2 linked regions of the Anolis sagrei genome follow. The protein of the gene in region 1 purifies or fractionates together with the protein of each later gene. This does not show direct contact. Links are inferred from orthologs where the notes say so. Each region holds a gene or a part of one and is shown on either strand. Other genes may lie near its edges.

The links.
Region 2: the proteins of VAMP4 (region 1) and VTI1A purify together in Homo sapiens (affinity purification with mass spectrometry; 4 studies listed by BioGRID and IntAct, counting the BioPlex papers as one, with this or other methods). This does not show direct contact. The link is inferred for Anolis sagrei from reciprocal best matches to the Homo sapiens genes VAMP4 and VTI1A.

The regions. Positions count from the first base shown.
Region 1 is NC_090024.1:130,542,917-130,558,824, reverse strand, and holds the start of VAMP4 (vesicle-associated membrane protein 4), read right to left. Parts: upstream 8,684-15,908; 5' UTR 8,560-8,683; intron 3,814-8,559; 5' UTR 3,761-3,813; coding exon 3,695-3,760; intron 2,829-3,694; coding exon 2,782-2,828; intron 1,606-2,781; coding exon 1,555-1,605; intron 1-1,554. Other genes in the region: ITPA (inosine triphosphate pyrophosphatase), read right to left, coding at 13,724-13,847, 15,217-15,293. UniProt on the Homo sapiens protein: Involved in the pathway that functions to remove an inhibitor (probably synaptotagmin-4) of calcium-triggered exocytosis during the maturation of secretory granules.
Region 2 is NC_090023.1:208,322,340-208,338,405, reverse strand, and holds the start of VTI1A (vesicle transport through interaction with t-SNAREs homolog 1A), read left to right. Parts: upstream 1-10,069; 5' UTR 10,070-10,242; coding exon 10,243-10,336; intron 10,337-14,305; coding exon 14,306-14,364; intron 14,365-16,066. Other genes in the region: palmitoyltransferase ZDHHC6, read right to left, coding at 45-311. UniProt on the Homo sapiens protein: V-SNARE that mediates vesicle transport pathways through interactions with t-SNAREs on the target membrane. These interactions are proposed to mediate aspects of the specificity of vesicle trafficking and to promote fusion of the lipid bilayers.

The sequences.
Region 1 (15,908 bases):
CTTGACCACGGACCACTCTCCAACATTAATACTAAAAGAGTTACAAATCAGTTTTTGGTCAACTTTAGATTCGATTTGGTAATTTGGGGCGCTGATTGAGAAAATTGCATTGGATAGACCACATCAGCTCTAGGTTCTGATACAGAAAATATGCCATCCAGTAGTCGCCAGCTGCTTGCCCACAGAAAACCACAGAAAATAATCTAAAGCTGATATGGTCTATCCAACGCAATTTTTTGAATCAGCACCCCAAATAACCCCAGGAACAAACCTAAAAACGAAGACATAAAAAAATTGGTTGGGCTGTTTTATTATCTGCATGTCTCGCTGAGCTGATTTTAGGTTTTGCAGCCCATGGGTTGGGAAGCACTGGTCTATATCGAGGGAAGTCAGTCCTACTCTATTCTGCTTTGGTCAGACATCACCTGGAAAACTGGGTTATGTTGATTGTTGTTCCTGCATAGCAGAGGGTTGGACTCAATCTCTCCCAACTCTATGATTCTATAGGTTGTGGGAACAGTAGCATTAGAAATAGTTTATGCTAATACTGCTTATGCAAATGTTCTATGCAAATGCTGTACAATTTGCTTATGGTCAAATTCTTTACCGTCCATATTTCCTTTTGTAGACATAACAAGGGCATATGGCACATACAGTATTTGGCCAGGAAGGACATGGCAGGATAGCAAGGACACTACTATTTGGTCCATACTTAATTATCCAATCTATACTCTCCCTACCTAATAAGTTTTGGGATGGAAGACTGCCCCACAAATGCCTAAGCATGATAGAATTGTTCTCTGAAAAAAATCTTATAGGATTCATATGCCAACACCCTTATGGATGTTAGTCTAGTCAAAACTGGAGAAGCACATGGAACTGAATGAGACCAACAAAGGACCAGCTCAGAAGTGCAATATAAAACCCAATGACCTAGTTTCCATTCCAGAACATCAACTATTATGATGACAAATCCAGAGAAAAGAATCCTGTACAATACGATAATTTATAGTATATGCATAATTATCTTTTTAAAAAATAAATAAATAACCAACTAGTATTTGGGCACAGAAAAGGAACTGATCATTCTTCCTCCACAAAAGAAATGGTGGGCAAAAGAGTTCAGCAACACTCTTAGAAAAAAATATTTTCATAGAAAGTGTTCACATTATTTTGACTTCTACTCATTGGTTTAGTTCAGGTGATTACTGGTCAATTTTTAATTCCTTCCAAATTGTTCCATTGTTTTGAAACAGATAATGCCTACTTTCCATAAGACCCCATGAATTATTAGCTTGCTGAAGCCTTAAATACAGCACATCAATGGGAGAGGGAGTATTTAGCAGAAAAATACACTTGCTGAATATTAACATACAGTTTTAAATATGAATTCTTGGGGGTCTACATTACCCAACTTATTTTGTTGTTAACAAGCCATGGAAATTGCAAAATTCTAAACTCAATCCAGTTGTGGCAGAAATAATAATTGAGGCTAGAAGTTTTATATACACTGTTAATACAAAACAAATTTTTCAAATGTCATTAAATACTTACTGCCTGATCTTTTCATTCTTTGGCCCAAACTTTGGGCCCGATGGCCCTCTCCTGGAAAGAGATGATACAAATGACTGGACAGATAAGATCAAACATGTGGACAACAGCTACTTATCTATGCTAATGGACAAGCAGCAAGCCACATAGCTAGGTAAGAAGCAGGCTCTTGAAATCCTGGTGCCTGATTAAGAGAGGGACTATTAAAGGACATCACATTGGTACCTTATATAGGGCAGCATAACAAACATTTCTCTTGAGGCTACAGTAAGGAGAATAAAATGTGGAATCTTTAAACTTTAATGTTCACAATAGATGCTGGAAAGAGCTCCAAGTGAATCATTCAGTGCTCCACATAATTATGGAGACAAAATCCTGATATTAAATAATGTTAACTGGGCAGTAACAACACCAAATAATCCCCAGGATTCAATGCCAGGTTCAGAAAATCTAATCGCCATTCCAATGAACAGGTTGTTCGGTTGACCCTTCTCCAGCCCTGGGAGATTCAGATTGAGGCTCTGTATCCAGAAATCCACAAATCTCTAAAAGTGAAAACTTTTTGCTACCAGCCCCATGTTTTTGCCTTTGGGACAACAGCTGCAGCTCTTCTGCTTGTTCATATCTCAGATCCTTAGTCTATCTCTCTCTCTCTACAATGAGATGAGAGACTGATTTGTAAAATGAAAGAAGGCACGTATTTGTGAAAGGTCATGCCCCCATTTTCCCCTACTCCCTTCCTACTCGTTATTATTGGCAGGGACAGGCAAGGCAGGTGGCAAGAGGGGTGGTGGTGGTGAGTGTTCCAGTGAGGTGAGGTGGAGCTCTCTTTTTATTCCCATTTCTTCTTTCTCTCATGTTGGGAAGTGAGAAACATCATGTTGGCCTGTTTTTCTTTCTCTCTTCAAACCTCTCTCTTACTCTTACCCTCCTCTCTCTTTCCTTTCTGTCTTCCTCCCTTCTTCTTCTTCTCTCCCTCTACTGCAACCCTATAGGCAGCCTCTGCCATGTTGATCATGTGGCATTCCCTGCAATGATCCCTCACAGCAGCCCCCTTCTCAGAGACAACACAAGCAAATAAACAAGATGCAAGGCTGGACAGAGATGGGTGATATATTAAATGGCGGAAGGAATATGGGTATTTTGGAAAACAGGCATTCCAGCCCTCCCCACCCTAATATAAAATTATGAAACACTTCTCGCCCCAAGCATGCCAGAACCTATACTTACAAAAAAAAGTCCTCCTCTTCATCAGAATCTTCCTCAAGGAGGTTTCTCTGTAAAATACACAAAATTGGTAGATCTCAAACAACAAATAAATGTCTACTTTCTCCCACTTTTTACAGAAAAATAAATCTATGGTTCCCTGACATATATTTCATCTTAAAACTTTCAAGAAACTGAGCATAATGTCACTAACAGATCTATACCCTCAAACTGTTTCTTTCTGTTTATGCAGACTATAAACCACTGTAGCAGTTTACCTTGATTACTGAAATTCATGATTCAAATAGACATAGTAAAATTATTTTATTAGTTTCTGCTGTTTCCTTAAGAAATACATGTCAATTTAAATAGCAATACTAGACAGTCTCCTGGGGCTCCAGATACTAAGTAGACCATGACTAAGTAGACCATAACCTAATCAACAAGACAGGATGACTGTGGACCATTCTTTAGAGCAGAGCTTTCCAAACTGTGTACTGCAACATGTAAAGTGTGCCAGCTGCAATGTGTAGGTGTGTTGCATGAAAGTAAGGAAAAATGACAAAAATCTTGGAAATGTATGTGATTAGCTTACAAATCTGATATTTTAAAAATGGAAATGAAAGGTTTTTGTGAGATATGTTGTGTCCCCATATATTTCATTATTACAATTTATTTTTGTGTCTACATCTCCTATAAGGGGTTGGTTTAACCTCCAGTTTGCAAGTAAAACATAATTACTGTGTCATGAAAATATGTGTGTCTAACCAGTGTGACATCACCATGAAATGTTTGGAAAGCTCTGCTTTATTCTTGGGGTGTGATTGATAATTTATGGAGGCCCTTCAAATGGGCTAGTTCTGTAATTCCTGGACACTGATATGTCTACATTTTAAATGTGAATGTAAAAAGAATCCTATTACCCTTATGTACTCACCCTCTCACTTTTTACTGACCCAGTAACATCATCATCATTGAGGTGCCGCTTGAATTTTGGAGGCATGTTTTTATACAAGTGTTGCTCTTAGCTGCCCAAAACGAGAAATGGAAAACTGCCTAGGAAAAGAAGGAGAAAAGCAAAATTACAGTACTCATTTAGTTAGGGTTCAATTCTCAGCCAAACTGTAAAACTTACAATGTGGTCACAGTTTTCCTATATAAAGTGATTAACTAAGCATGGAATCTTACATGCTTTTTAAAACAGCATCAATAGAATATGATCTTTCGTGTTTAAGTATAATGGATCAATAATGTTCAAGACAAATAATATCTTTTAAGGAGATTATTCTCTTCGAGACATATGATAAAGATGATTTAATGTTTTCTTTTTAAATCCTGTCAACATCTTTAAGCTTACCACTTGTATGCAAAAAGCTTCTAACCAAAGGGCAAACTTTTAAATATCTTACTAATATAACTACTGGGTATATGACAAGCAGAGGGAGTTTTTAAAAGATTTCTTAAAGATTCTTTTTCACAAGCAAGATAATGGATAGTAATTCCTTTTTAATCAGGGCCATTCTGACATGGAGGTGGAAAAGGTCATTTTAATACTACTCTAGTTTCTCCTGTTCTTCCACACTACCAGAAAATTCAAAACTCTACTGAAGGCAGCAAGTCCAGTTTTTTGGATCAGATCAGCCAACTCATATGTTCAATTATCTCAGATGCTGCTCAAGAACAGATATTCAAAAACATACAGACTTTACTCATAAGAATTTTTACATGTTTTCTCTGACATTCACATTTTAAATGATTTCTCATAGCAAAGATTTCACAGACCAGCATAATAGTACTCTTTGGAGACAAACAATGGGATAAGCAGTTTAGATGGTTCTGGTCCAGGCTAGTTAATTAATCACATTCCTACATACAGGGTGAGGCAGTATAACTTCCTTTTTTTTAAAATGCGAGCCATTCACGTAGCGGAGCACTAGTGATCTCGTTCGAGAGACGGGAGTATAAAGTTTTGTCCTGACACAGTTCAGTCGCCATCATGCGTTGGAACAGTGAGGAGCGTGCTTTTGTTGTTGAGGCCTACTTTTCAAGTGGATCTGGAGTGGCTGGCCCGCTCTCCAGATTTGGCCCCTTGTGATTTTTTTTTCTATGGGGTGTTTTGAAATCCCGTGTTTATGTGAACCATCCAAGGACCCTACTAGATTTGAAGACCAACATCCAGGAAGAAATTGCCAACATAACGCCTGCTATGCTGGCAAGAGTCAAGACAAATGCCAGAAATCGGTTTACTCAGTGTATGGAGAATGGGGGATGTCACCTACCTAATTTGATCTTCAAAATTTATTTATTATTTATTTACAGTTTTTATATTCCGCCCTTCTCACCCTGCAGGGGACTCAGGGCGGATTACAGTATACACATATATGGCAAACATTCAAACTACATAAAACAAAACATTAGGTATGCACCTATATTATAATTTTTTTCTGATTCATACAATTGGTTTTATTAAGTTTTGAAAAAAGGAAGTTATGCTGCCTCACCCTGTACCTAAACAATGGGATGAACCTCTTGACAGAATGAACTGCTCAGCTGTGGGATAAACAGTTTAGATGGTTCTGGTCCAGGCTAGTTAATTAATCGCATTCCTACATATAAACCAACATGGACACTGTGGTCATTGGAGGGGGCCCTACTCTCAGTCCCACCCTGTCTCAAGTGTGGTTGGTGGGAACATGAGAGGGCCTTCTTTGTGCTCGTTCCTCCCGCTGGAACTCCATCCCTATGGAAATCAGAACCTCTTCACTCCTCTCCTTCAATAATCACTTTAAAACATACATTTGCACATTAGCCTTTGGAGAGGAAGATTATTAGCTCTTTTTTGTTTGTATCTTGTCTGACGATGATGATCATATTTCCTTAACATACTGGATAGCCAAGTTATTGTATACAGATGTGCCTTCCCAGAATAAGGAAAACTCTCAGTAATATGCCCTCAAAATGCACTTTACCACTGATTTAGGACTGACGTGTTCCCTCATTTCTCTCTGAAAATCCTATCCCAGTTATATCCTACCTTGTTCACATCAGTATTATTTTTTAATTTTAATTTATTACATTTGGTCTGTCCATTGGCCCTTGCACTGTGCTACTCTGCTGCTGAGTACGCATGCCCAATGTGGAACACATCTCACCACACTAAAACAGTAGATGTGGCTCTTAATGAGACATGCTGCATTATCACAGGGTGTCTGCGCCCTACACCACTGGAGAAATTACACTGCCTAGCTGGTATTGCACCACCTGACATCCGCCGGGAAGTAGCAGCCAATAGTGAAAGGACCAAGGCAGAGACATCTCCAGCTCATCCCCTGTTTGAGTATCAGCCAGCATGTCAACGACTTAAATCTAGAAATAGTTTTCTAAGATCTACAGAGACACTCGCTGGAGCACCTCAGCAAGCGAGAGTCCAAAAGTGGCAGGCTCAAACCCAGAACCTCAACCAATGGCTGATACCAAATGAGGACTGGGCGACTTGGAAGGCGCTGAACGGACTGCGCTCTGGCACCACGAGATGCAGAGCCAACCTTCAGAAATGGGGCTACAAAGTGGAATCCTTGACATGCGAGTGCGGAGAGGAGCAAACTACTGACCACCTGCTGCAATGCAACCTGAGCCCTGCCACATGCACAATGGAGGACCTTCTTGCGGCAACACCAGAAGCACTCCCAGTGGCCAGATACTGGTCAAAGGACATTTAACCAACTACCAAACTCACAAATTTTGTATTTTGACTGTTTCTTTGCTTTGTACTGTTAGAAATGTAATGTAAATGTAAACTCCAGGCATTCTTGGTAGACACTGATTATCTAGATCCGGCACAGTCTGGTTTCAGGCCGGGACATGGTACCGAGACAGCCTTGGTCGCCTTGGTGGATGATCTGCGCAGGGAGCTAGACAGGGGGAGTGTGTCCCTGTTAGTTCTGCTGGACCTCTCAGCGGCCTTCGATACCGTCGACCACGGTATCCTTCTGAGACGCCTTGCGGGAATGGGCCTTGGTGGCACTGCTCTGCAGTGGCTCAGGTCCTTCCTAGAGGATCGTACTCAGAAGGTGTTGCTGGGGGACAATTGCTCTACCCCACAACCATTGACTTGTGGGGTTCCGCAGGGCTCAATATTGTCCCCCATGTTATTTAACATCTACATGAAGCCGTTGGGAGAGATCATCCGGAGTTTCGGAGTGCGGTGTTATCTGTACGCAGATGACGTCCAACTCTGTCACTCCTTCCCACCTACTACTAAGGAGGCTGTTCAGGTCCTGAACCGTTGCTTGGCCGCTGTATCGGACTGGATGAGGGTGAACAAATTGAAATTGAATCCAGATAAGACAGAGGCACTCCTGGTCAGTCGGAAGGCCGAACAGGGTATAGGGTTACAGCCTGTGTTGGACGGGGTTACACTCCCCCTGAAGACGCAGGTTCGCAGCTTGGGTGTGATCCTGGACTCCTCGCTAAGCTTGGAACCCCAGGTCTCGGGTCCAGGGGAGCATTTGCACAACTCAAACTTGTGCGCCAGCTGCGCCCGTACCTTGGGAAGTCGGACTTGGCCATGGTGGTCCACGCTCTGGTCACATCCCGGATTGATTACTGCAACGCGCTCTACGTGGGGTTGCCCTTGAAAACGGCCCGGAAGCTTCAGATGGTCCAGCGCTCGGCAGCCAGGTTGCTAACAGGAGCGGCACTCAGGGAGCACACCACTCCTCTGCTGAGCCAGCTCCACTGGCTGCCAATCCGCTACCGGGCTCAATTCAAGGTGCTGGCCTTGGCCTATAAAGCCCTAAACGGTTCTGGCCCCGCTTACCTCTCCGAACGCATTTCCGCCTACGAACCGACTAGAACATTGAGATCGTCTGGGGAGGCCCTGCTCTCGATCCCGCCTGCGTCACAGGCGCGCTTGGCGGGGACGAGAGACAGGGCCTTCTCAGTGGTGGCCCCTCGGCTATGGAATGCCTTACCAACAGACATCAGACAGGCACCTTCGTTGCTGGCGTTTCGGAGAATGGTCAAGACCTGGCTTTACGAACAAGCGTTTGGCTAGGCAATGCAACTAACTAAGGAAGACGGTAACTGAACATAGGAACGGCACAATGACTATGAGAATGGATCTGACTTTAACGGAGGCGCTATATATGTTGTTTGTAGATTTGTCTGTCTGATGTTAATTGTTGTGGAGCAACATTGTCGTCCCGGTTGTTGTATTGCTGTGTTTTTAAGTGCACTGTAAACCGCATTGAGTCGCCCGTCAAGGGCTGAAATATGCGGTATAAAAGTGAAGCAAATAAATAAATAAATAAATAAATAAATAATAATTGACTGGTTGCCCTGACACGACAAATAAAAAATATGAATTGTTTTGATTGTTTTATTGATGTTTTGTTTATTGATGTATCGTGGGCTTGGCCGCACCAAGTCCCTTGGGGAGATGATACAAATAAAGTTTTATTATTATTATTATTATTATCATCATCATCAGCCTGTGGTGTTATTTACGGGGTCGCTCGATTACATGGTTTATTGTTTTTTATTTGTAACTGTGCGTTTTAACTGCTTGTTTGTCTCTTTTGTTCCTATGGCTGCCTTTGGAAACCGCCCTGAGCCTCCCTCGCCCTTCCAAAGGGCCAGCCCTCCATTGGCCAAGGGTCCCACAGTCGCTTGCAGTATGTCTGTGTGGGAGGGCTTCCTCTCACCCGACGCCCCCTTCCCACAGGCCCGCCTTCGGGGGGAGCTCTCCCTCGTTGGCCACCCCGGCCTTCTGCCTCCCTCTCCCTCACCCTTGTTCCTCACCTTATCCGACGACTTCCATCCCCTCACACATACGACGGAGCCAGGCCTCTCAGGAGCGCATAGGCTTCTTCCCAGAAAACCCCGCTCTTCTTCACTGACTTCCTGTTCCGGACCGGCACGGAAATGACTGAGGAGACGGGGTGACGTCAGCGGCTCTCTCAGTTGCCGAAAGCGTCCCTAGAAGCCCTGCTCGCGCGACTTCCGGTTCCTCGCGCTTTGCCTGGAGGGGGGCGCGCGCGACGGAGTCTTTCCTTTCCCAAGAAAGGCGGGAAAGCGTTGGGAGCTTTAAAGGGCGTTTCTGTGACCCCGCGGCCTCTCTGCGAGGCCTCGTGCCGGAGAAGCCTGGGGCAAGCGCTTGGAGTCGCCCCAAAGCAGGCCACGGTGGGCCCTCTCGCTCCACCTCTGACTCTCCGCCTGGGAGTATCGTCCTGCGAAGGCTTTTCGCCCTGAAGCAAAGTAAGGACTTCATCACATTGAGCTGGAGAAAACGAGGGAAACCATGCAAACCTTTGGGCTGTTCTAAAACAAATGGGAGTACCACAACATTTGATTACTTTGATGTGTAAATCAGGCTCTGAACAAAGTAGCCACTATCAGGGCATAGTATGGCAAAACAGAATAGGCTCCAATCAACAGGATGTTCATTCAGATAAAGGCTGGATATTATCACCTTATATTTTTAGTTTATGCACAGGACGTATCATAACAATAGTAAACTTTGGGTTGTTGTAGGTTATTTCGGGCTATATGGCCATGGTCTAGAGGCATTCTCTCCTGACGTTTCGCCTGCATCTATGGCAAGCATCCTCAGAGGTAGTGAGGTCTGTTGGACCTAGGAAAAAGGGTTTATATATCTGTGGAGTGACCAAGGTGGGACAAAGGACTCTTGTTAGTTGGAGCTAGGTGTGAATGTTTCAACTCACCACCTTGATTAGCATTTATTTATTTCTCAATTCTTGTGGATTTTTTCGGGCTATATGGCCATGTTCTAGAGGCATTTCTCCTAACATTTCGCCTGCATCTATGGCAGGCATCCTCAGAGGTGAGGTCTGCTGGAGCTGGGAAAAAGGGGTTTATATTTATTTATTTATTTACCTACCTTACTTATATACCGCTGTTCTCAGCCCAAAGGCGACTCACAGCGGTTCACAACAAATACGAACAGCAAAAATTCAGTGCTACAGTATAAAAACAGTTAACAATCTAACACATTACACAATTAATAAACAGTTACTACAATACCCATTCACTGTCGTCTCATAATCAAAAACATGTTCCAGATTCGTCATCCATTGTTCCATTCCAGTGTTCATTAACCAATCATTGCACTAATTATTCGAACGCCTGCTCAAACAGCCAGGTCTTCACTTTTTTGCGGAATACCATTAGAGATGGTGCTAGTCTAATGTCCGTAGGAAGGGCGTTCCATAGCCGAGGAGCCACTACCGAGAAGGCCCTATCTCTCGTCCCCGCCAGCCGTGATTGAGAAGCAGGCGGGATCGAGAGCAGGGCCTCCCCGGAAGATCTCAAAGTCCTGGTGGGTTCATAGGCAGAGATGCGGTCGGATAGGTAGCTTCACTTTTGATGGTCTGGCAGTTGTTTGGTGTGGCTTGTTAGTGCCTGGGGTAATCTTTTGTTGAGAGGTGATTAGGTGTGCCTGATTGTTTCCTCTCTGTTGTTTTGCTGTTGTAATTTTAGAGTTTTTTTAATACTGCCAGGCCATCAAATTCTAATCAAGGTAGTCAGTTGAAACATTCACACCAAGCTCCAACAGACAAGAGTTCTTTGTCCCACCCTGGTCATTCCTCAGATATATAAACCTATTTTCCTACTTCCAACAGACTTCACTATCTCTGAAGATGCTTGCCATAGATGCAGGCGAAATATCAGGAGAGAATGCCTCTAGAACATGGCCATATAGCCCGAAAAAACCTACAACAATCCAGTGATTCTGGCCATGAAAGCCTTCGACTTTATTTATATCCCGCTGTAATGAAATGTCTAATTAAAAATGGAGGTTTTACATATGTTTATTGATATTATGATATAGGTGCAGCTGATGGGTAGCCTGAGCTAAGGCATTGCCATAGCGACATAGTCCTCAAGGCAGAAGAGAAAGCGGCGGAGCTAACTGCCACTGTTTGAAAGAACACAACTTGAAAAGAGTCAGTTGGTGCCCAGATGAACCAAAGGATGGTTGGTTGTAGTTGTGTGGAGCTAGACCAAGTAGTTTAAGTCTCTGACAGGTAGTCAGAAGGAATAGGTGGCTACAGGTAGTGAGCCAAGTGTTTAATCTTCAGTGTTGAGTAAGTAAGGGTAGAAATATTTAAGTCTGTAGTATAATCTAGCTGGGTTGCTAGAAGAAAGGGATTCCAGGTAGTTTTATTTATGACTTCAGTGTCAAGCCTGAAGCAATAAAAGTGGGACTGAGAAAAGAAACTAAGTTTCAAAGAAAAGAAATAACAAACATTAAGGAGAGAGAAGATAAGCCATTGTTAAAAATTTAATAGTAACAGTTTCATGTTCTCCGAAGAACCAACAGTTAAAAAACAGTTTTTTAAAAAACCGTCAAGCTTATGTGAACCTGAGAAACCTTTAAATAAATGTTGTTTCTGATCAGTTCAAAATACTGAGTGTTTGTGACTACTTATTAAAGAGAAGTTTCTCCAGGAAAGAGAAGATGAGATCTTGTGGAACCGAAGACAGTTTTATGGCACTGGGATACACATATTAAAGTGACACAAACAGGTGTCCTAGAAGTCATCTCTCTCATATAAACCCCACTTTTTATTTATTTATATATATATATATATATATATATATATATATATATATATATATAAACAAAGTCTCAGCAACACGCATCATCTCTATCTTGGGCTCCTCATATTATTATTATAAGTTTATAATTGGAGGCAGAGGTGAGATAAGAAAAACAAGATCCATCCTGCCTCGCGACAGAAGTGTTTGCCCTACTTTTGTTTACACCCGCCCTATCTCAGACTCGGGGGGGGGGGGGTTTCCAACAAATAACAGCAAAGATGCAATGCTGTAATAATAAAGACATTGCTATAAAATTTGAATAATGACATTACAAAAATTACATTACACATCTAACAATTGAAAGACAAGACGTAGGATTAAAGGTAGTGGCAATATAAAATTGAACATGGAGTCCATTCAGATCTGCCTTTCATAATAAGAATAATAATTGTTATGCCATGACTTGGAAACTCCAAATGGGATGAAATGGTACGTTAGTGAGGAATTGCCAGCATTTTTATTATGGAGGTGGAACATTCAGGTACAGTAATTACTTTGGATGCCTGAATATATGTCTATGTGATTCATGGCCTGTTTCAAAATTGAGAAGGGGACATTTCAGGATTTTTAAGGAAGATTAAAATGCCATCAACATACAGAGCTGTTTTATGACAGCAGCAATAAACTTGGGTCACATGACATTAGCCATAGAGAAAGTAACTATAATCAGAGATTGTAACATTATTTTTAAAGGAATTGGTAACTTTCCATGGAACTCTCAGTTCCGGGACTGTGGCGCAGCTGGCTGAGTGTCAGCTGCATTAAGATCACTTCTGACCAAAAGGTCATAAGTTCGAAGCCAGCCTGGGTCGGAGTGAGTTTCCAACCAATTATGTACCTTGTTGTCGACCTTTGCAACCCAAAAGACAGTTGCATCTGTCAAGTAGGAAAATTAGGTACCACCTTTGTGTGGGGAGGCTAATTTAACTAATTTATGAGGCCATAAAAAGACTCCAGCAAGCATGCGGGGAATATGGAAGTACTTCATCAGTGTCGCAGATGGAAGATGAAAGCGACAGTTCCCCTGGCGGCCAGAAAAAGTTAAATAGCCTCTGACTGTCTGTCTATATCTGTTGTGTGTCTTTGGCATTGAATGTTTGCCATATATGCATACATTGTAATCGGCTCTGAGCCCCCTGCGTGGTGAGAAGGGCGGAATATAAATACAGCTAATTAATTAATTAATTAATTTCTGCTGAGTAGCGTTAACAAAACACTCATTGCTAAATCATCACTCTTGTTCTTACTATTGTAGCAATCATATGAAAAGCAGGATTAAAATTGGACAAAGGAGGTCTGGCAACTAGAGGATCTTTGTCTTTTACTTTACTGGGCTTTGATACTTCTTTGGGCATATCTACACTAACGACTTAGGTCAGTTTGAGGTGCAATCAACCCCATGGTGGATAAATGCCACACAGGGCTGTTCTGGGTTAACCCAGGTTAAACTCACTTGGGGATCAACAGGAATCCTCAACAGCCATTCCACACCCTTTGGGCTCAAAATGCAAACTTTTGTGTTTATTTTAGAATCATAAGAGACAAGAGCTTGTAATTCATCTTCCTCACCTTTCGTTTCTCCCCCCCCCCCCCCCCCCGGCGCAATGAAATTTGTCTTATTACATGTATGCTCCTCTGCTATTCTCAGGTCAGGAATTCACTCCCAGTTGAAAAGAGCGCCTCCATTTTGAAATACAGGGTGAGGCAACATAACTTCCTTTTTTAAAATGCGCGCCATTCAGTCGGTTGAAGACGTAGCGGAGCGCTAGTGGTCTCGTTTGAGAGGCAGGAGTATAAAGTTTTGTCCTGACAGTTCAGTCGCCATAATGCATTGGAACAGTGATGATTGTGCTTTTGCTGTTGAGGCCAATTTTTCGAGCAGATTTGGAGTGGCCGGCCCACTCTCCAGATTTGGCCCCTTGTGATTTTTTTCTATGGGATATTTTGAAATGCCCTGTTTATGTGAACCGTCCAAGAACCCTACAAGATTTGGAGACCAACATCCAGGAAGAAATGGCCAACATAATGCCTGCTATGCTGACAAGAGTCATGACAAACACCAGGAATTTGTTTTGAGGAGAGGGAATATTTTGAAGCCATGGATGACTGGATCTATGTATACAGAATCTGTGGATAAGTCGGGCTAACAGTACTAATGTATCTTGAAACCCTTTGAAATCTTTATTTGTTTGGAGAACTTTCCTTCAGGAACTGTGAGGATATGCCAAGAGATCTTTAAGAAAAGTAGTTTTATTGTATATGATCTATGCAAACAAGCAAATCATGATATCATTTTCCAATCCCAATTTTTGTACAACACAGCATCCTAGACTATAGCAGACTAACTGAAGCCAGATGTGGCCTCTGTTGAATTGTTCTGTTCAGCAAAATATGTAGACAACTCTTTCAGTGCTTTGTAACGATGAGAGATAGTGTTTTTCACAGACTTAGGTAATTCAGCATACCTGGGAAGGATAAGAAGAGAACACATTTATCAGAAACTGGGGCAGTCCGGTAATTCTATAGCAGAATTATGATGTGTTTAAAGCTGCAAACCACAATAGCCTTCCAAATGTTCAATGTTGGTGTCACACTTTTTAGACAAGTGTCATTTTGTGACACATTATTTCAGTTTTACTTGTAAACCAGAAAGGTGTGTTCTTCCTCAAACTTGGCACTTGCTTGAAATTCACCCCCCCCCCCCCTCCAATATGCCTGCTGCAAGCCCCCTCTGTACAAGTTTCTTGGGTGGCAAAAGGCCCAGTGGTGAAAAGGAGAACCACAAGGAGTGGGTTCAAATTTTGCCAGACGATGATGCTCACTTCCAGCTTGCCGGACTTGGTCATCCCTCCTCAGCAAACCCGACAGCGGGGTAGGTAGGGAGGGAGGGTAAGCACGCAATCCATACTATAGAGTGAAGCACTGCTTTTGCTGAATCTATCCCATTGTGAAAACTCTGTGTTGTGTATCCCTTGAAGGAAAGGCAGCACACGTGGTGGGCAAAACCACAGCTGTTGGAGGGAAAGGGTAGGACTGGGAGAGATGGCGAGAAGAAATGCTGAGTTGAGTTGAATTGAATGGGAAGACGCAAATGGAAATACCCAGGAACGAGGGAGGGATGTCTCACAGCCTGAAGGGCTCAGCAGATCAATGCACCACAGCCCTGGGTCCCTGCCGTTCCTCACACCAGGTGTGAGCCCTATGGAACACACTCCCAAATGAGGTAAGATCTGCTCCCTCCCTCCTGGCTTTCAGAAAGAAATTAAAATCATGGCTTTGAGACCAGGCCTTCGGACAGTAGATGTTTGTAGAGTTTAAAGGACATGGACTAGAATGACAATACAACTGGTGAGACTGTTTTTATTATTTATTGTTTTAATGATTGCTTATGTACTGTCTAATTATTATTTATGTTTAATTGTGGTTTTATTATTGTGGTTGTTATGGATTGGCATCGCGTCAGTGTCCAATGTATGGCATTGAAGTTTTGCCAGTTATGTGTAAACCGCTTTGAGTCCCCCTAGGGGTGAGAAAAGTGGTATAGAAATACTGTAAATAGAATAAATAATAAATGACACATCTAAACATTGCAGCTGACACACAAATGCAACACACCATTTGGAAAGTTCTGGCCTAAACAGTGAGTTCTCCACAAGTGTTACAGTGCTATGGAATATATCTACATGAAAACTTCACTGCTATCAATATACATATGCACACTTAACATAACCCCGTTAGCATCTTATTTAAATCTATAGCACACAAACTAGCCAGGATATTCTTACTAGCCAATTCTGTCTGTTGAAAGCAGTGAGTAGGCAAACAGTCACTTACGTCTTGTCATAACCCTCTGGCTGGAAGCATGGATCCCATCCAAAGTCTCTAGGTCCTCTTGGATCAACTATATGTCCCTGTAAATTGATACATATGGTAAGGAATGTTGTATGTTCTGTGTTAACATGTGGTACCTGGCACCAAGTCAAAAATAACTATATTTGATTGCTGAAAATTTATGAGGTGCAGATAAGCAGAGAAAACAGGATAGTTTTTCATATATCAGCATCCTTCAAAGTCACCTACAAAATTCAAACCAGAGTGTGCTCAAGAAGAAAGTGGATACATAAGGACACTTGAAATATAAGAAGAGCAGATTATGAACCAAATGTCATGGTACAGAGAAGCCTAGAACAACAATCCTCTTCAGTAGATAACCGTGTTTAGCTGGGCCTCTCTGTTCTTTCTTGCCAGCGTCATGAAAACCTGGCAATGAGAACATGACTGAACCACATACATTTCGCCTAGACACAGGAGGCACTTACTGTATCAATATCAGGCATTTTGCCTTCACAATCCACACATTTCTTTAACAATGTAGTGGAAGACATGGCAGGAAACAGTGGCAATAGAAACAGACAGATCAGGTGAAGCCAAAAACCGTAAGAAACAAAAACCAAATTAAATAACCATAGGAGAAAGCTCCCCCCCAAAAAAAACCCCAAGAAAAAGTGGAATATAGCAAAACAAAG
Region 2 (16,066 bases), on another chromosome or scaffold:
TGAGGCAATAGCATTAATACATTCACTATGGTCATTTTGCTTACTGGTTTCCATCCAACGGGAACATAGCCAGGGCCCACAAACATGGCATTGAAGTAATTGTAAAGGATCATAACAGTCCAGTTGATGAGCATGATGAAATTGATACTTCCTCCTGTCGTGTCCAGCGGCCAGTACCACAGAACGGCATCAATCATAGCCATGGCAGAGCATATTGCGATTACGCTGAGAGCTATGATGGGCCCCCAGTGGCACAGTCTTCGCAGTTCATGGAGGTTTTCAAACCTGATAACAGAACAAAGCACCCCCATTCTGCAACCACCAGGTGCACAATCCTATTTTATATGGTTCCTTTCAGGTAGGCCTTTCCATCTGGCGTACGTTTTCATCTCTATGACAAGGGCTGCATGTCCAAATTGGAAGAGCAAAGTAGGGCTGATTAAGTCATTTCTTCTTTTTGGAAGAATCATCAGGCATCAAAGCTGTTCAGGTAAGTTTCCAAAGGCAAATCTGCCTCTACACGCTGTCTAAACAAATAACAAGAAAAAGTAAGCAGAGTCATTGTTTGATATTCTTTTGATAAGAAGAATATTTAAAAACCATTTAGCAATAGCATACATGCTTTTCACATAGGCTTAGTCCAGACATAATAAGATTTGGCTATCTTGGAGATTAATATGGTCTGGGGAGGCCTTGCTCTCAGTCCCGTTTCCTTCACAGGTGTGACTGGTGGAAACGAGAGACAAGGTCTTCACAGTAGTGGCCCCTTGGGTATGGAACTCCCTCCCCAGTGACATTAGATCAGCCCCCTCCCTCCTAGCATTGGTAAAAGCTTGGCTGTGGGATCAGGCCTTTGGAGAATAGTGCAGTGCAGTTAACAGATTTGTTTTCTAAGATCTACGGATACATTCACTGGAACACCTCAGCAAGCGAGAGTCCAAAAGTGGCAGGCTCAAACCCAGAACCTCAACCAATGGCTGATACCAAATGAGAGACTCCCCCCTGGGCACACAGAAAACTGGGCGACTTGGAAGGCGCTGAACAGACTGCACACTGGCACCACAAGATGCAGAGCCAATCTTATGAAATGGGGCTACAAAGTGGAATCCATGACATGCGAGTGTGGAGAAGAGCAAACCACTGACCACCTGCTGCAATGCAACCTGAGCCCTGCTACATGCACAATGGAGGACCATCTTGTGGCAACACCAGAGGCACTCCAAGTGGCCAGTTATTGGTCAAAGGACATTTAATCAACTACCAAGCTTGCAAATTTTGTGTTTTTTGTCTGTTTGTTTGTTTTGTTCTGTTAGAAATGTAATACAATTGTCTGGTTGCCCCTGACACAATAAATATATAAATAAATATAATGCAATACAACTGGTTTGGTTAGCTCCTGAAAAGATAAATTAATAATAGATTTGGAATATATGGAATGACTATGGAAGGGCTTGGGGCTATAACTATGGATGGTGTGCTTTTAATATGGAATGTAATATTTTAAATGTTATTAAACATTTAAAATAACATGTTATTAAACATGTTTTAATTTTAATTAATTTAATTTTATTTTTTTGGAATTGTATGTGTTTTAAGGCATTGAATAATTGCCTCTATGTAAGCTGCCTTGAACCCCCTTCGGGGTAGAGAAAGGCAGGGTATAAATAGAGTAAATTAAGAAAAACATAGTTTCTACTGAAGAATGAGCAAGGGGCTCATGTGCTTTCCTCTTTTTGACATACGCCTAGTTTTGTCACTTATATTCTGGTGCATAACAGAACTATTTCACATAATATCTGAATCAAGAATGAGGTGCTTTAATGCTCTTACAAATCAGGAATCTCGTAAACTGGACAAAACAACAGTCCATTCAGGAATACAATTGGCTCTCCATATCTACAGATTCTGTATCCATGGATTCAACCATCCACCAATATATATTCCAAAAGCAAATCTTGATTTTGCCATTTTATATAAGGGACATCATATCACTTTGCCATTGTGCATAACAGCTTTTGGTATCTACAGAGCGCCCTTGAACCAAACTACAATGGATACAAAGAACCCACTATAATAGTTTCTTCGATATAGAGAAATTATACAGAAGTCTTTTATTAAACATTCATAAGTGTTCTTTTAAATATATACATCTCAAATCTTGCTCAGTTGCTTGTGTTTGCAAATGAAAAGTCTGTTGTCACAACATGGAAACGAATGCAGTCTTGTGTTTTGACAACTTATAATCCGTCAAAAAAAAAAAAAGGCTAAGGAACACTACTCGTATTTCTAGATTTCTAGTTCAGGTATGCTTGGATCATAGAACCTTATACAGCAGTGGATCTCAACTTGGGGTCCCCAGATGTTTTTGGCCTTCAACTCCCAGAAATCCTAACAGCTGGTAAACTGGCTGGGATTTATGGCCAAAGGTTGTAGGCCAAAAACATCTGGGGACCCAGGTTGAGAACCACTGTTATACAGGAATGAAGGAAAATTGCCTGCCTTCAGAAGAGAAGCAGTTAGCACAGTGCAAAAATGACAGTGAGCATTGTACAAAGTGGTGATTCTTAACAAAGCTGGGGAAAAGTATTTTCTTTACCACATTTAAAAAAATAAATTCCATAAGTGATGCACTAACATGTGAAGATCTAAGTTTCTGAGTGCTGGACCAAGGGAAATCAATTGGATTGAATACTGAGGGTTGAAATCCTGCCCTCAAATCCCAGATCTTTCATGAGGATGGAAGAGTTTACCCTCTGCTTCAGGATTTCACAATATAGTACTTCCTTTTTAAAAGCTGATGTCAGAATAGCCTTGGTTACTAGGGCTGGGCGGTTTCGTTTCGTTAATTCGTAATTCATTAATAATTCGTTATTTTTTTCAATTACAAAATGATAACGAACCATTCTGGAGCAATTTTTTTAAAAAACGAATTTTTAAACACGTTTTGTAAATGCTTCGTATTTCGTTATTGTATTCGTTTCGTTATTGTTCTGAGGTCGTTTCGTTATTATTTCCGCATGTCTGGGGCAAGTTTTTTGTTTAATTAGTGAAAAAAAATTATAATATCACACCAACAGTCAACAACAGAGGGAGAGGGAAGCTTCAGAAGTTTTTGGAGGTTTTTTAGCGTATTTCGCGGTCGCGTCCGCCATTAACGAATCGATTCGTTATTGTTTCGGAAATCGATTCGTTAATGTTTTGTAAATTTTTTCACATTTACGAAATTTTGTAAATACCGAACTTTTTTAAGGGAAAATTTTGTAATTATTTTAAATATCGAAACAAAAAACCCCCCCAAATACAAATCGATTTTAGAAACAAATTTTTCCGTTGTTACCCAGGCCTATTGGTTACACACACAAGTGACAAAAAATAGTATGTAACTTTGTAGGCATTACCCGTACTTCTTTTCTCACACTGTACTCAGTCTAAAGCAGGGTGAGCCAATTTTATGCACAGGATGTATCAACTGCCTCCAAATGACCAAATTAAATGGGTGTTTCTTTATGTTAAATGGTATAAAAGGACACTGTGATGCATTTAAAGCAGTGTTTCTCAAACTCTGCTCCTCCAGGTGTTTTGGATTTCAGCTCCCAGAAATCCCAGCCAGCTTACCAGCTGTTAGGAACTGTGAGAGCTGAAGTCCAATACATCTGGAGGAGCAGAGTTTGAGAAAGTCTGATATAAAGATTGAATTGCTATTGTTGGAGGGTTCTAGAAGAAGCAATACACACTTTCCTCAAAATGAGAGGGAGGATACATGCAGGACAGAAGCTATATTCTAACTACGTCTACTACGAACCAAAGACCATCACTTTTGCCTAATCGTTTAACATAACATAAGGAGACATAAGTTCACAGGTTCAAATCCAGGGAGCGGCGTGAGCTTCCGATGTCAGCTCCAGCTTCTGCCAAACCAGCAGTTCGAAAACATGCAAATGTGAGCAGATCAATGAGTACTGCTCAGGCGGGAAGGTAATGGCGCTCCATTCAGACATGCTAGCCACATGACCTTGGAGGTGTCTATCGACAACACCGGCTCTTTTATTAGGAATGGAGATGAGCCCCTACCCCCAGAGTCAGGCAAGACTGGACTTAAAGTGAGGGGAAAACATTTACCTTTACCTAAGGAGACATAACATTTAACATAACATAGGGCCCCTGGTGGCACAGAGGGTTAAACCACTGAGCTGCTGAACTTGCTGACCAAAAGGTCAGCGGTTCCAATCCAGGGAGTGGGGTGAGTTCCCACTGTTAGGCCCAGCTTCTGCCAACCTAACAGTTCAAAAACATGCAAATGTGATTAGATCAATAAGTACCACTTCTGTGGGAAGATAACAGTGCACCATGCAGTCATGCTGGCCACATGAGCTTGGAGGTGTCTATGGACAATGCCGGCTCTTCGGCTTAGAAATGGAGATGAGCACCACAACCCTGAGTTGGACACAACTAGATTTAATGTCAGGGGAAATATTTTCCTTTAAGGAGACCAATGCCTTATTCTCCCCTAAGGCCAATGCTAGTTTGCAGCACTGAGTTTTGTCATTCTCTTCCATTTGGCAATACAACAGCTACTAGTTTGGATGGAAGATATTGCAGTTTTGCTTATTGTTGTGTTCCTTCAAGTAATGCCATGGGATTCCTTGGGAAGATGTATTCAGAGGTTTGCCCATGCCTTCCTTTGTAGCTCAGAGAATGGGAATTGTCTGAAGTCACTTCAAACCAGGTCTCTCCAAAACTGTCATGACTGTACTGTGCTGGTTCTTAATTTTGATGTGCCAGCTTCATTTTAGAGAAGAGCTCAAAAACATGATGGGGAAAATTTGACGGTGTTAACCACACCCTACCTGCATGTCTAAAACTGTACACATAATGAAGAATCAACGCTTAAACTTGCAAGACAAGAAGAAATAACTTCTTTATGTGAGGACTACAAGCTCCCAACTTTCTACAAATAAAAAAGGCAATTATCTAGAATTATCTGGTTCTTTTTCTTCCTACATTACAGGGTGTGTGAACTCTATTGGACAATCAGAAGAGGAAAGAGCTGGGAAATCTTACTTTTGGGGTCCCAGATAAAAATGGGCAATGATTACATGATTATCCTAAAAATAACTGCCAAAATCTGGCAGGCATCTAACTTTGTGTTACATTTTATGCTCTGTTTTAGGCACCTTTTGCCATGTGTAAGCCACCCCGAGTACCTTTGGAGAGATGGTGGTGGGATACAAGAATAAACATATCATCATCATCATCATCATTAAAAGGACAGTTTAAGTACTAAGGAACAAATCACCAAGAAATTGTTAAAAAATAATATGATTAATATGAAGATACCATGGGAAATTCATGAGTTATCAACTAAGGAATGTATGACGCTTTCTTGTGAGTCCCATGCTTTCTAAGTGAGGCAAGCATAATAATAACTGCTATAGAACTCTAAATACAAGTGGTAAATGTATTTAAAGCATTAAATAAACTTAGATCATGATTTCGTGATAGTTAATGCTACCATTCTCCAATTTCACTGAAAATTATGTTCACGAGGCTTTTTGTATCTTTTTTGTTAGCAATTTGATGACACATTTGGTATTTTTCTGTAGTAAAGAGACGAAGGCAAAGAAGGTAGCCGACGTTGTCTGTAGACAACTCCTAGGTCATGTGGCTGGCATGTCTGCATGGAGTGCTGTTACCTTCCCGCTGAAGTGATACCCATTAGAGACAAAGATGAAGTATTTTGGCCACATAATAAGACAGGAAAGCTTAGAGAAGACAATTATGCTGGGGAAAAAGGAAGGAAAAAGGAAGAGGGGCCGACCAAGGGCAAGATGGATGGATGGTATCCTTGAAGTGACTGGCTTGACCTTGAAGGAGCTGGAGGTGGTGACGGCCAACAGGGAGCTCTGGCGTGGGCTGGACCACGAGGTCATGAAGAGTCGGAAGTGACTGAACGAATGAACAACAACAAAAGGTAAAGGACATTAAGTTCAGTTGTGTCCGACTCTGGGGATCGGAGCTCATCTCCATTTCTAAGGCGAAGATCCGCCATTGTCCGTAGACACCTCCTAGGTCATCTGGCCGGCATGACTGCAAGTAGTGCAATTACCTTCCCACCCACCGGAGCGGTACTTATTGATCTACTTACATTTGCATGTTTTCGAACTGCTAGGTTGACAGAAGCTGGGTGCTGACAACGGAAGCTCACGCCACTCCCTGGATTCCAACCTGTGACCCTTTGGTCAATATTCCTGCTTCTTGGCAGGGGGTTGGACTGGATGGCCCATGAGGTCTCTTCCAACTCTTTGATTCTATGATTCTAAGTTTCGCAGCTCAGCGGTTTAACCCACTGTGTCACCGGGGGCCCCCACCATTATACTACAATATTATTAGTAATTTTACATGTAATATATAATATACAATTATATTATTTTACTAGACGCCCCTTGCAATGTGTTGCTGTGGCCTAGTCTGTGTATATGTGTATATATATGTGTGTGTATATTTGTGTATATATGTGGGTTATGCGCGTGCATTGTAATGTATTTTTTAGCTTTTAAGTCTCTTCTGCTGTGTTTTTCAGTGTTTTATGAGTGATGGCCACTCGTTGGCCTGATAGGTGTATTGTGTCCAAATTTGGTGTCAATCTGTCTAGTGGTTTTTGAGTTATGTTAATCCCACAAACGTACATTACATTTTTATTTATATAGAGTTAATCCCACAAACGTACATTACATTTTTATTTATATAGATTCTACCATATTATTAGGGCCCCCGGTGGCTCAGTGGGTTAAAGCACTGAGCTGCTGAGCTTGTTGATCGAAAGGTCGCAGGTTCAATTCCGGGGAGCGGCATGAGCTTCCGCTGTCAGCCCTAGCTTCTGCCAACCTAGCAGTTCGAAAACATGCAAATGTGAGTAGATCAATAGGTACCGCTCCGGCGGGAAGGTAACGGTGCTCCATGCAGTCATGCCGGCCACATGACCTTGGAGGTGTCTACGGACAGCGCTGGCTCTTCGGCTTAGAAATTGAGATGAGCACCAACCCCCAGAGTCAGACATGACTGGACTTAATGTTAGGGGACTACCTTTACCTTTACCCTTACCATATTATTATACCACAATTACACTACCAGTATATTATACTATTAGTATTACATAAGATATTGTGCTATATCATAAGTTATATTAATGCACTCTGGTTTTATTAACATATGACATTCTCTCTCTCTCTCTCTGGAGATTTGATGACTCTTAAATGTGCAGAGCTGTGATGGAGAGCAATCCCCTGAAAAGAAGGAGAGGGAGAAGGAGGGATGGCCAAGGCAAAGCCAGAGGTGTGAGAAAGAAGCCTGGAGGCAATGGCCACCAGCCACTCCCTCCTCCTTCCTGCTTTTGGACCCAGGAGATGAAGCAGAGGCTCCCAAGCAGAGCCAGGGAGGTCCCGCACCCCTCTCACCCGCCTCGTGACCCCTTACCAGGACAGGGCCCGGGACTCCCGCCTCCTCTGCAGCCTCTGGCTCCGTTATGTTTCTGTTTGGCGCGCCCGCCCTCGCTCCTTTCGCCCACTTCCCCGCCTCCGGGCACCTTGTCTGGGAGCCCGGATGCGCAAAACCCTTCACTTCCGCCCCGACTTCGCCTCGCCCTCAACAGCCTGGCAAGTCCGCCCGCAAATGAGTCCCTCCTCTTACCTCTCAGCACGCAAAGCCATCAGAAGAATCAGTGCAGTTTGATCCCACTTTAGCTCAATGCTAGAGAATCGTGTATTTTGGTGAAGCACCAGCACATTTTGGCGGAAGAGGCTCAAAACATTGTGAAAATCCAATGATTCCATAGAATTCAGCCATGGCAGTTAAAGAGGTGCCAAAACTGCATTCATTCTACACTGTATGGTAAAGATAAAGGTTTTCCCCTGACATTAAGTCTAGTTGTGCCTGACTATTATTATTTATTATTTATTAACCATCGGGGCTGTCTCTTCTGACCACAAGGTCATGAGTTCGAAGCCAGCCCAAATCGGAGTGAGCTTCCGACCAGTTGTGTAGCTTGTTGTCGACCTTTGCAACCCGAAAGACAGTTGTATCTGCCAAGTAGGAAAAGTAGGTAGCACCTATGTGTGGGGAGGTTAATTTAACAAAATTTAGGTTAAAAAGGTTGTCCCCTGACATTAAGTCCAGTCATGTCTGACTCTGGGGTGTGGTGCTCATCTCCGTTTCCAAGCCGAAGAGCCAGCGTTGTCCATAGACACCTCCAAGGTCATGTGGCCAGCATGACCACATGGAGCGCTGTTACCTTCCCGCCGGAGCGGTACCTATTGATCTACACACATTTGCATGTTTTCGAACTGCTAGGTTGGCAGAAGCTAGGGCTGACAGCGGAAGCTCACGCCGCTCCCTGGAATCGAACCTGCGACCTTTTGGTCAACAAGCTCAGCAGCTCAGTGCTTTAACCCACTGCGCCACCGGGCCCCCAAAAATTTAACAAAATTTACGAGGCCATAAAAAAGACTCCAGCAAAAGCATGCGGGGAATGCGGAAGTACTTAATCAGCGTTGCAGATGGACGATGAAAGCAACAGCTCCCCTGGCGGCCAGAAAAAGTTAAATAGCCTCTGACTGTTTGTCTATATCTGTTGTGCATCTTTGGCATTGAATGTATGCCATATATGTGTACATTGTAATCTGCCCTGAGTCTCCTCCGGGGTGAGATGGGCGTAATATAAATACTGTAAACAAACAAATAAATAAATATTGATATACTGCCTTTCTCAGCCTGAAGGCGATTCAGGGAGGTTTACAAACAGTACAATTTGCTGCCCACAATAACAAAGAACAATTAAAACATTTAGCATAAATAACATTTGACAAAATATAATGAAACTGATAGAAGTCTAAATCCACAGCGTCTCATTACTCAATTCATTACCCAATCACATTGTCCAGTCGTTCCGAAGATCAGAGTTTGTCTGCTACACTGCATTTGGGAAAGCTTGCTCAAAAAGCCAGGTTTAAACTTTTTTTCGAAATGTTAGGAGGGTTGGGGCCGACCTGGCTTAATATTTTCTGAGGAAATGTGCTCATGGGCACTCTGAGAAGTCATGCAGTTTTTTAAAAGATCAATCTTTAGATCATTTTTAAGCCGAAGAGCCAGTGTTGTCTGTAGACACCTCCAAAGTCATGTGGCCAGCATGACTGCATGGAAAACTGTTACCTTCCTGCAGAAGCAGTACCTATTGATTTACTTACATTTGCATTACATTAGTCAGTTAAACTGCTGAGTCAGTAGCTCAGCAGTTTAAGCTGCTGCACCACGAGGAGGCCCCTACAGTGTAGATGCACCCTAATGTCTCTCTTACGTGTGGATTTCCTCCCCCCCCCCCCCGGATTTTGGAATATTTTGCCTCTACATAATGAGACATCTTGGAGGTGGGACCCAAGTCATAACATTTTTGTTCCTGTGTTATCAATGTCATTTCCTAATTGGGGCTATCATAAAAACATGGGATTTTTTTTAAAAAAATTAAGCTTTGCTTTTGTGCAACATCCTGCAGCATATTTTGCTATAGTTTTTCAATGAATAGAGTCTCAGCCAATTCAACATAGTTTGTGCAGCCACGCCAGAAGCGACTTGCAGTTTCTCGTCACTCCTGACATGACCAAAAAAAGCCATAAAAATGTAGTTTCTGGAGTAGAACAACTACTTTTAGAGTAAGCACTGCACAATTAAACAGGAAATAACATTTTCAAACCAGGAAAATATCCCCCCCCCCGAATTTTGTTACCTGGTGTAATTTATTCAGGTATGATGTACATCTTATGCACATAGTCTGATATGGACTATGTATATGCAGTCTTTGAAATGTTTTTGTGCATGAAACAAAGTCTAAAAGGCATGCCTCCAGATATTATAATAATAATAATAATAATAATAATAATAATAATAATAATAATAATAATAATAATCATCATCATCATCATCATCATCCATGATGGACTCTAGTTGCCCTCCATTCCCATTGGGACGAGCACCCGGAACCTTGGTTGCGAGATGAGGTTCCTCAGGGGACTGTTGTTGGTGACGCTCAACCCGGAAGTACAGCCCTGACAGGAGCAGCGGCGAAGTTGAGTTTGCGTTATCCGGGGGGGCGCGGGTCGTGAGCACCCCCAATTCCGAGGCGGGCTACCTGTGGGCTTCTGTTGCCTCCCTTCCGCCCATCTAGCCGCCGAGGCCTGTCCTTCCTTGGCCGCCATGTCCTCAGACTTCGAGGGCTACGAGCAGGACTTCTCGGTGCTCAGCGCTGAGATCACAAACCGCATCGGGAAGGTGCCCAAGTTGCTGGGAGGTGAGTCCTGGGGCCGAGGGGGGCTCCTTCCCGGCCCCTCTGCCTTTCCTCTCGCCCCTTGCTTTGGCAGGGCCTTTGACACCCCTTTAACAGTCATGGCTCAATGCTGTGGCCTCCTGGGAGTTGTAGTTTGGTGAGGCACCTCCATTCCTTGGCAGAGAAGGGCAAAGGCCTCGTAAAAGTATAGTTCTTTAGATTTCATAGCATTGAACCAAGGCTGTTAAGTGGTGCTAAACTTCATTAATGTTGCTCTCTCTCTCTCTCTCTCTGTGCGTGTGTATATATGTCAGGACTTCTTTGTGGTTAAGTACAGCTGTTAAGATTTCATATAATTGAATCAAGGCTGTTAATAATAATAATAATAGGAGCCCCCGGTGGCGCAGTGGGTTAAAGCACTGTGCCGGCAGGACTGAAGACCGACAGGGAGAGGCAGATGAGCTCCCTCTATTAGCTCCAGCTCCTCATGCGGGGACATGAGAGAAGCCTCCCACAAGGATGATAAAACATCAAAAATCATCCAACGTCCTTGCAGACGGCCAATTCTGTCACAACAGGAGCGGTTGCTCCTGACACGACAAAATAATAATAATAATAATAAACCTTTATTTGTACCCCGCTACCATCTCCCGAAGGACTCGGTGCGGCTTACAAGAGGCTGAGCCCAAATACATCAGTAAAACAACAATACATCAATAAACTCGTAAACAAGCAGTAAACATTAACAATAACACCACGACACATTAAAAGAACCTATGATAGGGCCAAGTGTAATAATTAAAATTGTTAAAAAATACTGGGCATGACCAGGTGACCAGGTGAAATAGGATAGGTATTTTGAAGATAGATGGGGCATGCAGACGATCCTAGATCTCTACTAAAGTGCATTTGGGACTAATTAATTAATTAATTAATTTTTTACGCTATATTTCTAGCCCGCCTTTCTCAAACCCGAAGGTGACTCAAGGCAACTTTACAATATAGGCAGCTTCAATGCCATTAAAACAGTGTAAAAATTACAATAAACATTTAAATAGCATTATAAAATACATACATAAAAACCTTAAAAATCATATAAAGCCACTACCTTCACAATTAGCCTCATTGTCCAAAATCATTGTCTAAGCTGTTCCAGTATAGGATTTTACATAATTCTGTATTTATCTATTTCACTAGGTTCTCAAAGGCTGGCTCAAAAAGTCATGTTTTCACTTTTCTACGGAAGGTCAGGAAGGAGGGGGCTGATCTAATATCCCTAGGGAGGGCATTCCACAACTGAGGGGCCACCACTGAGAAGGACCTGTCTCTCATCACCGCCAGTTGCACCTGTGAAGAAGGCAGGGCCTCCCTGTTAAGTGTTAAGTCAAGGCTGTTAAGTGGTGCTAAACTTTATTAATGCTGCTCACTGTGTGTGTATGTATGTCACGGCTTCTTTGTGGTTGAGTCCCAGTTTTGGAGTCTACTCATCCACTTTGAAGCAGAAGTACCTTGAAACAACACCATTTCCCCCCACTGGAATAAAGTTTTCATTTAATGTTGAATGCACCCACCTGAAAGCGGGGAAATTCATCCTGAGTGGGAAATCCCGCTGAACTCAGTTGGGTTTCTTCCCAAATAAGTGTGGAAAAGACTGCAGATCTTTCTTTCCACCGCTGCCAGAGCAGCACCTAAGGAATCTCTCTTGTATAACTAGCTTAGTGCTTGAAAACGGACTGCTTAACTACTTTTTTGCCTCAACCCAACCAACTTGGGCCTTGATTGTTGTGAAGAACTTTGGACTGTTATTGACGCCACCGCTCTCTATTGCACTTGAACCCAGACTGTTTGTTGACTATGCAGGCCAGTTATGTCTCCTAAAACATGTGCTTCTTGTGAAGGGGGGGGGGGCAGTTTCCAGGTTCAGATGGGCACAACATGTGCCTCCTTTACCTTGGGGAATCCCATGTGGTGGGATCTTGACCTGTTTGCCTCTCTTTCACTCTGAAGGTGTGGTGAGGGTGTGAGTACCGTGTGAATGATTTACTCTGTGAGCCAATCCTCCTCCCATCTCCCTCCCCAAGGAAATGTGTGGCTTCAGAGCCTCCTGAGCTGGGAAATACATTAAAGGGTGTGCATTAGGGTTATGGATGTTTGCCTTTGGCTTGTTCAGTTGGTTTGGAAGCCCATAGTGGCATGGACTCTGCCACCATTTTTTTACTGGTCACAACAAAACAGTGGCTGTTGAAAACTGACTTCTTTCGGTTACACATATAGTGCAGGGAGGTAGGCAGCCACTAGAAGGAAAAGGATTCAAACAAGTGAGGCTCCTTAAGCCCTTTCTTGATTTGTAAGCAGAAAGGAGATTGAAGTGTGAGGGGGGGGGGGGGAAGGCACGTTAGTTCTCCTTTCCACTCCAGCACCTTCAAATCAAGAGAGAAGAGAGGGCTTTTTAAAGGAAGCCCAGGGTAGGATGCCTCCAGGTCAATCCCTTTTCCTTCCCTGGGAAATGGGAAGCCTACTGAAAATGCCTTGGAAAACTACCTACTGCAGAGAGTGCGAGAGCATGAACCTGCAGTCCATGTCTCCTCTAGAGAAAAAACAGCCTTAACAAAGCATTAATCCTGTCTCCTCTGCAGACAGAAGGGCAAGGATTATAGAAAGAATGGTATTTTAATTTTGATGCTTTAAATCCAGGTCTTAATGAAGAATATAAGGACAAACACAATGCTTAAAATGACAGGAAGGGGAGCCTGTGAGAAGTCCCCCCCCCCCCATTGCGACCAATGGACCGGATAGGAAATGAATATTTCAGCTTCCCAAATTGAAAACGGATATCTGTCCTCCCAAATTCGGGAGGCTCCCAAAAAACTGATTGGGACCTCCATTGCAATTCAGGACACAGAAATGGATCATGGTTTACCCGGAGTTCACAAACCTGGTTTGCATACAGTAATAGATGAAGTATGATAGCACTTTGACTCCCATGGCTCCATGCTATGGAAGTGTGTGATTTGTAGTCTGGTAAGGCACCATCACTCTTTAGCAGAGAAGGCTGCCATGGAAAACTACAGCTTTCATGAGTCCACAGCGTGAAGCCATGGCAGTGAAAGTAGGGTCAAATGGATTATCTCTATAGTGTAGATTCACCCTAAGTAGTACACAGGGAGTCTCCAAGCTACAAACATCCGATTTACAAGTGACTGCTTCATTGTTAAGAATGGTAGTGAGACAACAGGAAGCAAGGAAGCCAGAGAAATCTATCTCCAGGAAGGGAAATTCACTCCTGAAAGAGTGGTCACGAGGAAAAGATGTCTCCACTGGAGATTTATCACCAAACCTTGTTTCCACAACCAGCCAAAATGTTCAAAATCAAAGTCTCACACAGACAAGAAGTGAGGTAAAATCTTCTAAACAGGATCAGAGACAGCAGAACAAACACCACAGGGGCATTAACTCTTCCTCATGCTATCCAAAGAGTATGTGTGTATGTGTATCTGGAGTTATACTTAAAATGTACCTGTTCTGACTTAGATGCAAATTCAACTTAAGAACAAACCTACAGAACCTATCCTGTTTGTGACCTGTATTTAATTTACACACTTACAAAGAGATGAATAGGATTGCTAGCCTCCACCTTCTGAAAAGTTCATAGGGACTTAGAATAACTTGTCTTCATCCCTTCTGGCTTTGTTTCCTGGTGTACTTGTGTGTCTTATCACCTCCTTTTTTTCTATCCAAATTTAAAGGCCCCTTTTGCACTACTGTAAAACTGAGTTCCAAAAATATGAATACTGGTATAAAACTTCCCCCACCCTACACTGCACATGTACCCACAAGAGCCATTCCTTTAACATGTTCTTCAAGCAATGCAATATACAGACTAAATTATAAATTGCTGGTGAAACCCTTAATTTTCCCTGAAGTTATGTGAAATATTTATAGTAGAAGTTGATTTTCACCAGATTTTCACTTGTTCTTTTTTATTATTCTTAGATGAGAAGAGGCAAATGGTTTCAAATGTGGAGAAGCAGCTGGAAGAAGCAAGAGAGCTGGTAAGCTGTGGTCTCTCAGTTGCTGTTGGACAACACAGATGGAAATGGTGACATGCTACTACATATAATCAACTGGGAGAATGTTTTAATGGCTCATTGTCTACTGAATTTTATCTGTATGCTGTCTTTTGGCTAACATGGAACCCAAGACAATGTACAAAACAACTGACACAAGATAAAGGCTAGAAATCAGTATTAAAAAGTTTCAACACAATTAAGCAGGTGATCAGATTGGAACACCATTAAAATTTTTAAAGTGTACAATAATTTTAAATGAACAATACTATTAATAATGCTGAATACCCCTCCCATAAAAGAGACTTCTTCCAATCAATTAACACAACCTAGTTCCTGTTTGAATAAAAGGTCAGTTGTCTACCTTTGAAATGAACAGAAAGGAATTCCAGAAAAATGCAGTAACAATCACTGAGAAAGCTATATCCCATGTTTTTACCAAATGAATATGTGATGGTTGCAGGACTGGAAAAAATATCCTTCTCTGTGGAAAGACTCTGGCAAATTTATATAGGGCAATAAAATCTATTTCAACAAGTGTTACATGTTCACTGTTACTAGCTTCACCTATTTGCTGTATCTTGGACCTGTTATAGCAGATGTAATTAAGGCATATGACACCATAGCCAAGTTTGACTTCTCTAAGAAGTGCTGCTGATGTCCCGACTTTTATTAAGATTATTGGAAGGAAACTCTTGAAAGTCAGGAAGTGTCCACAGAAGAGAGAGACAATAGAAACTGACTGGAGAAGATATTAAGAAAAGACAGTAGGAATAGATGGCTAAAGACTGATATAAGAGATTTTTTTCCTGCATTCCACAGTACATGCTTTCCCAAACCTACATGTTTATCACAGCAACTCCCATATTTTCTGTCACAGTAACTAAGGCTATTGGGAGTTGAATTAGTGCTATTATTATTTATCCTATTCTCCAGGAACTCAAAGTGTCTTACAAAAGTTAGAAGGTGGACAGTGACAAATATATGAATAAGTATATAAAGAAATACAAATTAAAATTGCATACAGTTGAGAATATAATTAAACAATCAATAGTTTTAAAATCATTTGAAAGTATGACTATGAAAAAAGCAAGCAGTATAATAGTATACTTATTTGTCACATGTCTCTATGAATACGTGTAGCTAAATGTCTTCCCGGCCACCAATGTCACTTGATTCCAGACCCAAGGTTGAATTTAGGAGTAAACCCAAGCTGTGAATCTGGGTTTTCAAAGGAAATATAATCTTCCTTGTTTTAGTGAATAATTGGCCATTCCCTCTACCCACTTTGCCAGTCTCTCCTAGCATCTTTTAGTAAGCTAGGAAGGGCAGGAGTCAATATAATGTGGCAAGTTGGTCGTAGTGGTCTGGGGTCTCCTCTAACATGCTAGCATGTAAAAGAAGCCTGATCTCTGACCTGACTAAAACAACCTAAGAGTTCTAGGTTGAGAAAGCTTCTCTGGTATTGCACCTGGATAGGGGTAGTTTCTCCCTGTGGGCCACTTTGGTATGTTGGCAGCATGTCAGCAGTTTTCTGAGGTGTTGTGGGGAAAGAATGCAAACCACATGAGTGGGAGTGATTGGGAAGCTGTTGTGATGGTTTTGGGGCAAGAAATGGCCTAGCAATTCCCAGTGGCCATCTAATTTGTTTGTGGGCTGTGGGGTTTTGGGGGAGTTCTGCTATGTA